Linked DNA regions of Oryzias latipes. The protein of the gene in region 1 binds, or shares a complex with, the protein of each later gene. Links are inferred from orthologs where the notes say so. Each region holds a gene or a part of one and is shown in the gene's direction. Other genes may lie near its edges.

Region 1 (7,857 bases):
TTCATTTTATTTGGCCTGTAATTCCAGAGTCTCCCTGTAGGCGGTGCTCTACAGACACCTGTGTTCAGTGGTAGAACTGACTCGGACAGTCATTTTTCCCATCGTTCCATGAACGCAGCGTTTTCCTACGTTTTCTTTTTTTTTTTTTCCTGAAGGGAATCGAGCCGTCGGCGCGAAAACGAGAAAAAATAAAAAAACTCCAAAATGTTTGAATCTAGAATGTTCTCGTCCAGATTCTTTTCTTTCTCTTATGAGGTGCATGTTTTCATGCTTCTGGTCCGGTTCTGGTTCGGCCCGTCGGTCAAACTTTAGGACCGTTTGTGGCCCACGAATCCTAACGTTTGCCCCCCCCCCATGCAGAAAATGGACATTTAAGATGAAGAAAGAGAGACTGCTGCTTCCTGCAGGCCTCATTCAAATGTGTGTCTGTGTGCATGTGTGTTCATGCGTGTGTTCATGCGTGTGTTCATGTGTGTGTTCATGCATGTGTTCATGAGTGTGTTCATGCATGTGTTCATGCGTGTGTTCATGCATGTGTTCATGCGTGTGTTCATGCATGTGTTCATGAGTGTGTTCATGCATGTGTTCATGCATGTGTTCATGAGTGTGTTCATGCATGTGTTCATGCGTGTGCTCATGTGTGTGTTCATGTGTGTGTTCATGTGTGTGCTCATGCGTGTGTTCATGCGTGCGCTCATGCGTGGGCTCATGCGTACGCTCATGCATGTGCTCATGCATGTGCTCATGCATGTGCTCATGCATGTGCTCATGCGTGTGTTCATGTGTGTGTTCATGTTTGTGTTCATGAGTGTGTTCATGCGTGTGCTCATGTGTGTGTTCATGCATGTGTTCATGAGTGTGTTCATGCGTAGGTTCATGCGTGTGCTCATGCGTGTGCTCATGTGTGTGCTCATGCGTGTGTTCATGCGTGTGCTCATGCGTGGGCTCATGCGTACGCTCATGCGTGTGCTCATGCATGGGCTCATGCGTACGCTCATGCATGTGCTCATGCGTGTGTTCATGTGTGTTCATGTGTGTGTTCATGTTTGTGTTCATGAGTGTGTTCATGCGTGTGTTTATGAGTGTGTTCATGCGTGTGTTCATGCGTGTGCTCATGCGTGTGCTCATGCGTGTGCTCATGCCTGTGCTCATGCCTGTGCTCATGCCTCTGCTCATGCCTGTGCTCATGTGTGTGCTCATGCATGTGCTCATGCGTTTGCTCATGCGTATGTGCATGTGTGTTCATGCGTGTGTTCATGCGTGTACTCATGCGTGTGTTCATGCGTGTGTTCACGCGTGTGTTCATGCGTGTGTTCATGTGTGTTCATGCGTGTGTTCATGCGTGTGCTCATGCGTGTTTTCATGCGTGTGTTCATGCGTGTGTTCATGTGTGTGCTCATGCGTGTGCTCATGTTTGTTCATGCGTGTGCTCATGCGTGTGTTCATGCGTGTGCTCATGCGTCTGTTCATGCATGTGTTCATGCGTGTGTTCATGCGTGTACTCATGCGTGTGTTCATGCGTGTGTTCATGCGTGTGTTCATGCGTGTGTTCATGCGTGTGCTCATGTGTGCTCATACGTGTGCTCTTGTGTGTTCTTGTGTGTTCTTGTGTGTTCTTGTGTGTTCATGCGTGTGTTCATGCGTGTGTTCATGCGTGTGCTCATGTGTGCTCATACGTGTGCTCATGCGTGTGTTCATGCGTGTACTCATGCGTGTGCTCATATGTGTGCTCATATGTGTGCTCTTGTGTGTTCATGCGTGTGTTCATGCGTGTGTTCATGCGTGTGTTCATGCGTTTGCTCATGCGTGTGCTCATGCGTGTGTTCATGCGTGTGCTCATACATGTGTTCATACGTGTGTTAATGCATGTGTTCATGCGTGTGTTCATGCGTGTGTTCATGCGTGTGCTCATGCGTGTTCATGCGTTTGCTCATGCGTTTGCTCATGCGTTTGCTCATGCGTGTGCTCATGCGTGTGTTCATGCGTGTGTTCATGCGTGTGCTCATGCGTGTGCTCATGTGTGCTCATACGTGTGCTCTTGTGTGTTCATGCGTGTGTTCATGCGTGTGTTCATGCGTGTGTTCATGCGTGTTCATGCGTGTGCTCATGCATGTGTGCTCATACGTGTGCTCTTGTGTGTTCATGTGTGCTCATGCGTGTGCTCATGCGTGTGCTCATGCGTGTGTTTATGCGCGTGTTCATGTGTTCATGCGTGTGTTCATGCGTGTACTCATGCGTGTGTTCATGAGGGTACTCATGCGTGTGTCATGCGTGTGCTCATGCGTGTGCTCATGCGTGTGTTCATGCGTATACTCATGCGTGTACTCATGCGTGTGTTCATGAGGGTACTCATGCGTGTGTTCGTGCGTGTGTCATGCGTGTGCTCATGCGTGTGCTCATGCCTGTGTTCATGCGTGTGCTCATGTGTGTGTTCATGCGTGTGTTCGTGCGTGTGTTCATGCGTGTGTTCATGCGTGTGCTCATGCGTGTGCTGATGCATATGTTCATGCGTGTACTCGTGCGTGTGTTCGTGCGTGTGTTCGTGCGTGTGTTCGTGCGTGTGCTCATGTGCGTGTGCTGATGCATGTGTTCATGCGTGTACTCATGCGTGTACTCATGCGTGTGCTCATGCGTGTGTTCGTGCGTGTGTTCATGCATGTGTTCATGCGTGTGTTCATGCGTGTGCTCATGTGCGTGTGCTGATGCATGTGTTCATGCGTGTACTCATGCGTGTACTCATGCGTGTGCTCATGCGTGTGTTCGTGCGTGTGTTCATGCGTGTGCTCATGTGCGTGTGCTGATGCATGTGTTCATGCGTGTACTCATGCGTGTACTCATGCGTGTGCTCATGCGTGTGTTCGTGCGTGTGTTCATACATGTGTTCATGCGTGTACTCATGCGTGTACTCGTGCGTGTACTCGTGCGTGTGTTCGTGCGTGTGTTCATGCGTGTATTCATGCGTGTGCTCATGCGTGTGCTGATGCATATGTTCATGCGTGTACTCATGCGTGTACTCGTGCGTGTGTTCGTGCGTGTGTTCATGCGTGTGCTCATGCGTGTGTTCATGCGTGTGCTCATACATGTGTTCATGAGGGTACTCATGCGTGTGTTCGTGCGTGTGTCATGCGTGTGCTCATGCGTGTGCTCATGCGTGTGTTCATGCGTGTACTCATGCCTGTGTTCATGCGTGTGCTCATGCGTGTGCTCATGCCTGTGTTCATGCGTGTGCTCATGCGTGTGTTCATGCGTGTGTTCGTGCGTGTGTTCATGCGTGTGCTCATGCGTGTGCTGATGCATATCTTCATGCGTGTACTCATGCGTGTACTCGTGCGTGTGTTCGTGCGTGTGTTCGTGCGTGTGTTCGTGCGTGTGTTCGTGCGTGTGCTCATGCGTGTGCTCGTGCGTGTGTTCGTGCGTGTGTTCGTGCGTATGTTCGTGCGTGTGTTCATGCGTGTGCTCATGCGTGTGTTCATGCGTGTGCTCATACGTGTGTTCATGTGTGTGCTCATGCGTGTGTTCGTGCGTGTGTTCATGCATGTGTTCATGCGTGTGTTCATGCGTGTGCTCATACATGTGTTCATGAGGGTACTCATGCGTGTGTTCATGCGTGTGTCATGCGTGTGCTCATGCGTGTGTTCATGCGTGTACTCATGCCTGTGTTCATACGTGTGTTCATGAGGGTACTCATGCGTGTGTTCGTGCGTGTGTCATGCGTGTGCTCATGCGTGTGTTCATGCGTGTACTCATGCGTGTGCTCATGCCTGTGTTCATGCGTGTGCTCATGCGTGTGTTCATGCGTGTGTTCGTGCGTGTGTTCATGCGTGTGTTCATGCGTGTGCTCATGCGTGTGCTGATGCATATGTTCATGCGTGTACTCATGCGTGTGTTCGTGCGTGTGTTCATGCGTGTGTTCATGCGTGTGCTCATGCGTGTGCTGATGCATATGTTCATGCGTGTACTCGTGCGTGTGTTCGTGCGTGTGTTCATGCGTGTTCTCATGTGCGTGTGCTGATGCATGTGTTCATGCGTGTACTCATGCGTGTGCTCATGCGTGTGTTCGTGCGTGTGTTCGTGCGTATGTTCGTGCGTGTGTTCGTGCGTGTGTTCGTGCGTGTGCTGATGCATGTGTTCATGCGTGTACTCGTGCGTGTGCTCGTGCGTGTGCTCGTGCGTGTGTTCATGCGTGTGTTCATGCGTGTGTTCATGCGTGTGCTCATGCGTGTGCTGATGCATATGTTCATGCGTGTACTCATGCGTGTACTCGTGCGTGTGTTCGTGCGTGTGCTCATACATGTGTTCATACGTGTGTTCATGCGTGTGTTCATGCGTGTGTTCATGCGTGTGTTCATGCGTGTGTTCATGCTTGTGTTCATACATGTGTTCATGCGTGTGTTCATGGTCGTTCTCATGCATGTGCTCATGCGTGTGCTCATGCGTGTGTTCATGCGTGTGTTCATGCGTGTGTTCATGCGTGTGTTCATGCTTGTGTTCATACATGTGTTCATGCGTGTGTTCATGGTCGTTCTCATGCGTGTGTTCATGCGTGTCCTCAGCTACATCCAGACCGGCTCCACGTCTCTGAAGCTCATCATGAGGCATTTCTGGGCTCTGATCTCAGAGACCCTGAAGGCCCTGCCGTCTGTCGGGGTCGACATCACGCGTGAGGAGCGGTGAGTCCGTGTGTCCTGCAGGGGGCGGCGCCGTCCCAGCCTGCCACCTGCATTTAGTCCCGTTTGTGTCCGCAGACACCGGAAGTGCCAGCAGTGCTGCAAACTCCTGAAGACCACGAGCGTCACGGTGAAGAGCCGCGCCCCGCAGGTGGGTCGTCTGGGCAGCACCTTCCTGGAGCTGCAGCTCGTTTTGGCGCCGCTGGACGAGGCTCCGTGAACCTGGACTTGGCGGCGATGACTTCACTTCCTGCTGTTTACTTTTTGATGTTTTTTCTAAAATAAAGTTTTTGGAAAAAAAGACATTTTTGCCTTTGTCTTCCCAGCAGAAGGGTTGGTGGTTCAGCTCCTAGTTACCTCTGCCAAGTGTCCTTGAGCAAGATGCTGAGGAATGTCAAAGGTTGTTGGTTTGACTCCATCAGTCTTATTTTATCCCTTGTGCTATCTTAGATGACCCCCCCCCCCTCTTCCAGTGACGTGTTCTCCCTACCATGACAAAGGTGGACAAAGGTGGAAAGATTTCATGTAATCCATGGACACCAGTGAAGATCACAAATCACTGAAGAAAAAAGGTTCAGAGCTCTGTCTAGTGGGTCTAGATGACCCATTGTCTAGTGGGTCTAGATGACCCCTCTCCCAATGGTAAAGTGCCTAGGATAGAACAAGTGTTACAACTTTCCCCTTTTGAGTGAAACTGTGTTTATCTTGTTTTAAATATCCCTTCATGTCATGAAAACTCAAAGGCTCGTGGTGGAATGTTTTATTAAAAAGGAAATACAAAAAAAAGCACACAAACTGCAGAAGAAGAAACCGGCTCGGACACGAGATCAATTCCTCGTATTGCTCTGATTGGACAGTCTGGCATTAGCGAAGTACCCTGATTGGTTAAAGGAAAGCTACAGGAGAGGCAGGCAGCATGAGACCAATCTCAGTTTCTTCAAATGAAAAACTTCTGAACTGGAAAGTTCTCCAAGTCTGAACTTTCCACTCCAATTTCAAAATAAAAGTTTTATCTCAAAATATGAAGAAAAAGTAGAACTTCAAAGCAAAATCTGAATAGAGACAAACGAAACATGTACCTCCTTCACGGGGGTGTTGGAAACAAAAATTAAAACCTTAAAGTGCAAATTTTCAAAGAAAACACTGATTCTGGAAACGGACAGACTTCAGTCCAGCAGGGGGCGCCAAGAGGAGTGCATGGTCCAATCAGCAGCAGGAGCGCCTGAACCAACAGAACCGCCCCAGCAGGAAACCGCCCCAGCAGGGAACTGCCCCTTCGTCCGTCCTTTAGGCCGTCAGCTTCAGTCGTCCTGCAGAAAACAGAGTTCATCAGTCAGTGGTCACATGACGCCTGACCACACCCACACAGGTGATGATAAATATGAAAACACGCATGTAAAGCTGAAGGCCTCATTTCCCACAATCCTCTAAAAACACAGTCAGGGTTTTTTTAACCCTTCAACGACCGCCGCAACTCTTCCAACCGCCTTATGGAATTAACGCAATTCTAACAAAAGCTTCACAATTTGTTGGAATGACGTTGAAAGAGTTGCGCTAATCCGTAACCAGTCAAAGATCAAAGAAGCACGCCGTTTTGCTTTTGCCGGCGGCAACGCTGGTGTTTAGCAAATAGAAGGGTCGTCTCTCTTCACGACCAGCAGGGAGAGCTGTAGAGAAAACATGGCTTCACCTTTAACCCTTGTGCTACCCTATGGGGTCCATATGACCCCCCCCTTCCATTGACGTGTTCTCCCTACCATGACAAAGGTGGATAAAGGTGGAAAGATTTCATGTAATCCATGGACACCAGTGAAGATCACAAATCATTGAAGAAAAAAGGTTCAGAGCACTGTCTAGTGGGTCTAGATGACCCAACTCCCAACGTTAAAGTGCCTGGGATAGCACAAGGGTTAACCTTAAGGCAGGACCTTCCAGTCTACAGAGGAAACTCTAGGGTTGTGTCTGAGTTCCCGCCATAACCTCTACTAAAAATCTATATAGTGCGGTTCTATGTAGAGTCCTGAATTCTAAAAGCCGTTCAGACGCCGCGTTCACGTTTTAAAACGGCGGATATGACGTCATCGATTTCAAAATTAAAATCTAATAGATATGAGCGTTTAGCTATGATTATATATGATCCACTGTCTTCTGAAGATAGAAATGAGGGTTTATTAAAAAAATACATAAATACATTTTTTGGCAAAAAATGTTCCAATGCAATGCATTGTGGTCTTTATTCACCCATCTAGTGAGCATTGATGCACACTGTTTTTTCGCAGAGACTTCTGGGAAATTTCTAGGGTTCTGGATTTTGGAATTGTAGATTCAGACAAACTAGAACCTGGAGAACGCTCTATAGAGTGAGCAGTGAAGGAATTCAGACACAACCTAAGCTTCACAACGTTCACAACAAGTCGATCATTTCTGCGTTCATAACCTCACGTTGATGCGTGTTTACGACTATTTGCAGGCTCTATGAACACGCTAAGTTATGCCAGGTTGAACTTTGACCCATAGGGACTCGTCGTGTGGATGGCGTCCCATTTAATTCCCAGAAGAGCCAACCGTTTAAAATTGAGGATTGAATAATTGCGGTTTGTTCCGGGCTGGAACTCTTTCTTTTATGGGAATGGAATCAGTCTGGAGCCAGATTCACCAGATTTACACGCTACGACATTTCACTCCAAACCTCTTCCACCTGCAGGTGGTGGACGTACACTAGGAAAAGCCCCCCCCTGCTGGTCTAATGTGAACACCATGTGTCACGTGTTCTGTGTGAAGGTAGCTTCATGTCACAGAACCTCCAGCAGCTTTGAAGCATTAGAGTCACGGTTTGACGTCTCTTCTGAGGATTGACTGACAGCTCTCCCAAAAGAGGGAGGAGCTGAGGGAGGGGATCCCGCTGGAAAACATCATGACTAACCAGAACATGCTAAAGTTAGTAGAGGACGGACGTCTTTCACTTTGACCATACGGAGACGTCCGGATCAGTTACGGAGGTGAAGACGTTGCTTTAAGGCGTTTACCTGAGCGCCGTCACTCACAGCAGATTCATAAAACGATCCGGTCTCTGTTCTCACAGGGTGGGGGTGACGTCTGCATGTTTTCTATGAAGCCCCGTTTGTCTCTGAAGCTTTTATTTCTCCCCATGCAGGACAACATGTCTGTCAGTTACGCAGACGACACCCCG
Region 2 (7,363 bases), on another chromosome or scaffold:
CCTCCGTCTGTTGGCCGAAGGCAGGAAACAGCCTGGACAGGAGGTTTTTGAGCCTAAATGGACCTTTTTGAGGTCTGTAGCCTTAGGACTGAAAGCAGGCTCCTCCAGAGTCTTTGTTTAGTTCTTCTTAACCATTTAGAGGTGGACCTGCATGTGGGTTTGAGGTCATTCTTCTACTCTAGATCCCACATTTGCTTCAGCTTGAAGCCACACCGATGTGTGAGCTTCTATTTGAACATGGACAGCCGAATTCATGGTTTCAGTTCCTACATCAAATCTTTTATCGCAGACTTTAACTGTATCTGAGACCTGGACAGAGTGTGACGTCATCCATAGAAAGTGAAGTCAATTCAGTCTGCATATTTTAGCATCACGGATGTTGCCATGTTGGAGCCAGACAACGTCAGTAAGGTGCGAGTCGGTCTGCGTCATCTTGTCTATGGCAATCACTCTCGCCAATCAGAAGTGAGCTTGTTGGAAGGCCACACCCCTATCTGATGGTGGACTCTGAACTTAACTGAGACCTTCAGTTCTCTGGGAACTGTTGCTGGACCCATGATGACCTCTTAGGTAGTCGTCGCTGGTATTTTTGGGACCTTTTCTCAGTTTGGATCATGCTATCGTCATGACTGACCAGCAAATTCACCTGGGAAATTTATGTAAGGAGGAAATGTGAGGCACGAGACCCAACAATGAAAACCAGGTGTCTGCAGATCTACACCTCTATGTTACCCAGCATGCAACAGGACCACCAACCAAGGACTTGGTCCTACTCAGTGATACTTTGATAGTAGCACCACATTCTTTCTTTAATAAAATTCAAATTTCCTGAGATATTGACAATGACATTTTTATCAACTGTGAGCTATATTATTCAAAATGAACTATATTATATCTATGTGGGAAAAAATCTGTTTAATCTTTGGGTTTGTTTTTACTGAAATAAATACACTTTTATGATATATTGTATATAAATTTAGAGATAAAAGCAAAATATAAAAAGTGATTAAAGATTTATAGACTTTTAATGTAAAAATGGTGTCATAAAGCCTTCTTGTCTCATTAGTGTTTCTGCTGCTCCCGTGCAGACGTGAACACAGGTAGAAATATTGGAAGCCTCCTTAGTTTAGTTTTTGTTTGCAGTCATTCAGACACATCAGATCCTGGTCACATGATCAGCATTAAAGTCCCACTAGCACGGTAGCACCGCATGGACCAGCAGGACTACAACTTCAGTTCTGAACTTTCATTGTTTTCATTTCATCATGAGATCCAACCTGATGGTTCTTTTGGTTCTTCAATGCTGTTTGAAAAAGGTCTAGGAGTAAGTGAACCTCAAAGAAGGTTGGGATGAATTACCATTAACTCTTAAGTGTAATGGATTAAATAATGTTTCCAGAGGATTCCAAGGTTTATTATAAAAGTGAAGTTCAGGCCAGAGACCTATTTTTTTGTGCATTCATTAGATATTCGTGTTCTTTCTCCTCAGACATTTTCCCTGTCCCATCCGCCGCCCTGATAACCCCTACAAAGACAGCAAATCCCCCAACAACCGGCAGAACGCGGCGGTGAAGGCCCAACAGAGACACTCGCATCGAGGACCCACCGGAGAGCGCAGCAAAGCGCCCAGAGACAAGGAGAAGAAGGAAGCAGCAGGCAAAGCAAAGGAAGATAAGGTGAGAACATTGTTTGCTGTGCTGATCAAAGGCTGGCCCGCCCATCCGTCCAGTTTCTCCCTCAGACGACAGGAGCTGCATTTCTGCTTGCTTTCTTCAGGAGAAGGAGGTGAAACGGTTTGATGGGGCGGGATATGACAAAGACCTGGTGGAGGCTCTGGAGAGAGACATCATTTCACAGAACCCCAACGTGAAGTGGTTCGTCAGTCTTTATTGCTTCTCTCCTGCAGCTCGCCGCTTTGTTTGATCTGTAACGTTAAATATGTCAAACTTACTGTTGCTGTGGTTTCATGCTTTTCAGTTTCCAAATACAGAGTATTTTGTATACAGTAATATGATGAATCATTTATTTTACATAAATATTCTCAGATGTTTATCTGTGTATTTTGAGGAAAACACTGTCAGCAGGTGAAAACGTTTTTACGCCCGAACTGTTTTCTGTCAACAACTTTCTTTCTGGTAAATGGCGTATACTTGTATAGAGCTTTTCTACCTTCCTCGAAGCACACTGGCACTAACTTATAACCACCAGAGCCGAGGTGGGGTTCAGTAGAAAAAACAAAAGTAGAAATGGACACCACCTGTATCTGATGCTAGGTAACAGCCTATTGTAACAGTAACGTCTTTCCAACACAGCAGAACGCTCCTGTTTGAGCAAAATAATCAGGTAATTGGATATCTGTCAGATCTCTTATTGTTCTTGGTTGTAGGGACGACATTGCAGACTTGGAAGATGCCAAAAAGCTGCTAAAGGAAGCAGTGGTGCTGCCCATGTGGATGCCAGAATTTTTCAAAGGCATAAGAAGACCATGGAAGGTACTGATTTTAAAGCATGTGTGTGCGCTTAGTTATCCACTCCCTGCCTTTTCCTAAAACGACTTGGATGGGGTCTTCAGGGGGTGCTCATGGTGGGACCTCCAGGGACAGGAAAGACACTCTTGGCAAAAGCTGTTGCAACTGAATGCAGAACCACATTCTTTAACGTCTCTTCATCCACACTGACCTCCAAGTACAGAGGAGAGTCTGAGAAGCTGGTTCGTCTGCTGTTTGAAATGGTGAGATCTTTTTCAGATTATCTTCCAATTAGAGAATTTGTGCTTTGAGGCATGGGTCTTTAGGTCAAGTACACTTTAGACAAATCTGTATTACAAATACTAGTTTATTTGGTCCATCTCTGTTAAATTCTTGACAGCAGTTCTATTGAGATTTTAAAAAATGTCTCTGCTAATAACTACAAGAACACAGTTTTATGTTTCTCTGATTGGTTGATGCAAGATGCTTTTTTTGCCATTTATAAGCTAAAAATTAAGTTTTGAACATTTTTAAGTCTCCTCCATGAACTGTTTAGGACTCTAGAAGAGTTGGATTCAAGCAGTCGTACATTAGTTTGGTTTCTTTCCTAAATCCAGAAAAAACCTGTCAGTGTTTGCTTACAGGAATCCTTCTTCAACACAGCAATTGTGTTGATAAAAGATCTTAAACCAAGAAATATTAAAAACTGAGCTGGCCTAGATCATTTAACCTTTTTTAGCATTCTAGCCCTAAAATTTGATGAAAGAACACTTTGAAATAGTCCATAATTAATTAAATTAAAGACAAAAGGTCTAAGGAAATCTATCTTAAATAGGTTAAGTTCTTCCTTTATGCAGATGATACAGTGATATTCTGCCTTTATGCTGATAATACTACCACATTCCTCTTTTATGCTGATGATACTTCAACATTCGACTTCTTTCCCGCTGATACTGTATTGATTCGCCTTTATGTTGATGGGACTGTGATGTTCCGTGTTTATGCTAATGATGCTGTGATGATAATCTTCCTAATCTTTTGTGCTGATGATGCTGTGATTTACTGCTCTGTTCACAGCTGAGTTGACAGTCCGTCAGGAAAACTGGTCTTTATGCTCTCAAGTGTTTTATTTTCATGTTCAAGCTGCCGTTTCCACACCAATAATGGGTTCTTACCAGAAACCCGTAGACCTGTTTGTTTCCAACACTTAGGTGTTATCTTCACTAATCCTGGTGACATTTTTCACACATATCTCTTAATGTTTATCATCAATAGTCCTTAGTCATAACATGAGCCACTCTTCCAGGCGCGCTTCTACGCTCCCACTACAATCTTCATTGACGAGATCGATTCCATGTGCAGCCGCAGAGGGACATCAGAAGAGCACGAGGCCAGCAGAAGGGTGAAGGCAGAACTTCTGGTGCAAATGGATGGTATGGAGCTTAGTGTTGCTGCTACACATTCATCATTTTTGCCTTGTGAGCTATTGTTGTAGAACTGTTGGACACTGTGCTGCAGGTGTTGGTGGAGCTTCAGAGAACGAAGACCCATCAAAGATGGTCATGGTGCTGGCTGCCACCAACTTCCCATGGGACATTGACGAGGCTTTGAGGAGACGGCTGGAGAAGAGAATTTACATTCCATTGCCATCAAGTATGTTCTTTCCCCAAAACCATTGGATCTGCTCAAACTTGAACGGAAAGCATCTGGCTTTATCATGCTATTTTACTAATGTTATTTTTACAGCAGTCAAACACATTCACTCATCAGTCTCGCAGCAGTTCTAAGGAGTTTGCTCAAATGACGTGTGTTGGATGTTTGCAGCAACAGGGAGAGTGGAGCTGCTCCGGATCAACCTGCGAGAGCTGGAGCTAGCCAGCAATGTGGTCCTCGACAAGATCGCCGAGCAGATGGACGGCTACTCGGGGGCAGACATCACCAACGTGTGCAGGTCAGACAAACGCAGACTGACTGACAGCAGAAGCTCGTCTGCATTCTGTAACCCTGCCTCATCTTCTGCAGAGACGCCTCTCTGATGGCCATGAGACGCAGAATCGAGGGGCTCACCCCAGATGAGATCCGCAACCTCTCCCGGGACGAGATGCACATGCCCACCACCATGGAGGACTTTGAGTCTGCTTTAAAGAAAGTTTCTAAGTCTGTGTCTGCATCTGATCTGGAGAAGTACGAGAAGTGGATTGAAGAGTTTGGATCATGCTAAAGGAGCTTCTCCTCGCAAGGACTTCCAACCAAACCCGGACTCTGAAGAAGATCCGGTTTGGTTCTTTACAGAAGCTAAATGTCTTTAACACGAAGACTTTAAGAACTGACAGTTAGGAGATCTTTGGACATTGTCAAGATAAAGAAAAAAAATGTTGCACTTTGGAACCAATTCAATTATTTCTGCTTACCTGCTTTCTTGTACTTGATTTGTCTGTAAATGTCTGTTTTAACTTTGTAATTTAAACACATTAAAGAAACACTAGGGAAACATTCTCTTGACTTAAAGTTGTTGTTTTGGCATCTTTGCCTGGTCCAGGCAGCTTTCTGTAAATACGAGTCTTTTAAACTGAACCTGATGGATCAACATTCTCCTAAAAAAAATTGAGTTTTGTTCAGAACCTTTGTTTACTTTGAGATAAAAAAAATATCAGGAACTGAACTTTTAAAGATCTTCATACAATAGAACCAGGTTGAACAAGATGGATGCTGCCCTCCTGCTTCATTCAGCTTTCATGTAGTTTTTCAAGGGCAAATTTTGAAGACTATACAGTAATATTTACCATTACCTAACTTTTTAGGGACAAACTACTATCTTAAAAAAAATGCTATTTATCTTGAAATGAGTAAAAGTCCGTTTTTTTACAGCTTTACAAAGGAAACTAAATCGGATCTGAACTCTTGTTTATTGACTGAAATCTTATATTTTTAAAGCAGCCATTCAGACTGATACTTCACTTATATCATATCTTCTAGCAAGCAGTCATTCTTCAGCATTTATGTTTTGTTGAAACAGATCTACCATTCTTTTGTTGACATGTTTTTTTTTTTACTTTTATCCAGCTCCTGCAGATACCATGCAGGTCCTTGTTTGTGGTCATGACTCGGCATGACAAACATAGAAGAAACCAAGCCAGTTTGCAAATGTACAGAGCACCCTTTGATAAAGCCTTCGGTGAACTCAGCAGGCAAATTTACATAAAAACCAGCGTTGCAGAACGCATTCATGACATCAGCTGTTTGCCTCTATGTTCAAAGGAGGGCAGTGAATGAGATGAAGGGAAATCGGGTGGTAAACTGTAGCTGTTTACACACCATGGAGCTTTTGTGCTTGAATGGTGGTCAAGAGAAAATGTGAAACAGTATGACAGGAAAACGAGGTGTTCATGACAGTTTTTTTAGCAGACTTATGGCCAGTTCAAAGGATTTGAAGGACATTTTACCACAGAGTTAAATGGCATTTGTATCTTTGGTCCCAGGCCAGCCAATTACAAAGCAAACAAAATGTCAATATGATAAAAATTGATCTAAATACAATTCTGATGTAAATATAAACACAAGGTAAAAAGATTTGTTGGAGGTACTATAACCTTTAGTTAAAAATACTGTAAAAAAGTATTGTAAATTCTGAAATACTTTTTTGAGATGTATTTATACTCAAATACTTAAGTATACTTATACTTACTTTAGATTTAGAATTCTTATAACTAAAAATATATTATAGTACTGATGGGGGTAGAGGTAGAGCAATCGACCTCTGATCAGAAGATCAGAGGTTTGGTTCCCGCCTTGTGTCAAAGTAACGTTGGGCACAACACTGAACCCTACATTGCTCCTGGTGGTTATGGGTTGATGGTGCCAGTGTTTGTCAGCAGAGCTGTGTGTGAATGAGTGAATGGGATTGTGACTGTAAACCACTTTAGGCCTTCAAGGAAGACAGAAAACTTCTCTATAAGTATGGTAAACACTATTTACCATTGTAACCCTTGTGCTATCCTAGGCACTTTAACGTTGGGAGTTGGGTCATCTAGACCCACTAGACAGTGCTCTGAACCTTTTTTCTTCAATGATTTGTGATCTTCACTGGTGTCCATGGATGACATGAAATCTTTCCACCTTTATCCACCTTTGTCATGGTAGGGAGAACACGTCAATGTAAGGGTGGGGTCATAGGATAGCACAAGGGTTAAGAATCATCTTTGTAGTAAATCCAACTTCCCCAGGTTTTGTTCACGCAGCTGTCTACTTGAAAAATAAACTGCATCCACTGCTTTCTGAAATAAATTTCCTTTAGGAAAAATAAGTTGTTCACAGCCATAATCACCCAAAACATCTGGAAAAAACATTTCTATTCAGTGGTGTATGTTTTTGTGATCTTGGAGGTCCTCTTGCTTTTTTGTTGTCAAAATTTCAGAGTGAGGCGTTTCTTTGTGCCTCTGGAATAACATAAAGCCTAAAAAATAAGATCTTATTTGTAATGTAATTTTAGTAATCTATTTATTCAACAGTATTTTTACCTTTTTTTCTAATACTTAAATAGTTTTTTTAATGATTCCTTTTTCCTCATTTTATTTTTATTCTTTTGATTAAACAGTTTGTTCTTCAGTCTAATGTATAGAAAAATTTTCCATGAAATAGTTTTGATGCACTTTAAAGGATTTGAAGCCTGTAATCTTTGTGTTATTTACAATAACAGATCAGATCAGTGGTTGTCTTGCTAAAGTGTGTGGAGGTGGTTCTTGCAAAATTTAAGCTGATACTTTGGTCTGAAATTATTCACGTAATTCCTGGTTTTAAATGACTGATCACCTTAACTTGCAGATCTTCTGCCTCGTCAAAGTTTTGATTCAACTACAATTTCTTTAAAGTGAAATTTGACCAGTTTTCCAGTTACG

What was found.
Region 2: the proteins of katnb1 (region 1) and katna1 are in contact, whole or in part, in a crystal structure (PDB 5OW5), measured with the Mus musculus proteins. The link is inferred for Oryzias latipes from reciprocal best matches to the Homo sapiens genes KATNB1 and KATNA1. Residues at the interface, in NP_083081.2 of Mus musculus: Leu485, Val486, Asp487, Glu488, Ala490, Met491, Gln493, Ile494, Arg495, Gly497, His498, Met501, Phe502, Val504, Leu505, Thr506, Arg508, His509, Leu512, Asp513, Val515, Arg516, Trp519, Thr521, Asp542, Leu543, Ile546, Gln549, Lys550, Leu553; in NP_035965.2 of Mus musculus: Leu5, Gln6, Ile8, Val9, Val12, Arg16, Ala19, Leu20, Leu21, Gly22, Tyr24, Tyr31, Tyr41, Leu50, Lys53, Trp54, Gln56, Val57, Glu60, Ile61, Val63, Glu64, Gln67, Val68, Asp70, Ile71, Thr74, Leu75, Ser77, Phe78.

Annotation. Positions count from the first base shown.
Region 1 is NC_019861.2:37,561,540-37,569,396, reverse strand, and holds the end of katnb1 (katanin p80 WD40 repeat-containing subunit B1), read left to right. Parts: intron 1-4,553; coding exon 4,554-4,670; intron 4,671-4,745; coding exon 4,746-4,887; 3' UTR 4,888-4,970; downstream 4,971-7,857.
Region 2 is NC_019882.2:10,465,884-10,473,246, reverse strand, and holds the end of katna1 (katanin p60 ATPase-containing subunit A1), read left to right. Parts: intron 1-1,489; coding exon 1,490-1,676; intron 1,677-1,776; coding exon 1,777-1,874; intron 1,875-2,386; coding exon 2,387-2,492; intron 2,493-2,572; coding exon 2,573-2,731; intron 2,732-3,774; coding exon 3,775-3,901; intron 3,902-3,986; coding exon 3,987-4,121; intron 4,122-4,292; coding exon 4,293-4,419; intron 4,420-4,490; coding exon 4,491-4,689; 3' UTR 4,690-4,964; downstream 4,965-7,363. UniProt on the Homo sapiens protein: Catalytic subunit of a complex which severs microtubules in an ATP-dependent manner. Microtubule severing may promote rapid reorganization of cellular microtubule arrays and the release of microtubules from the centrosome following nucleation.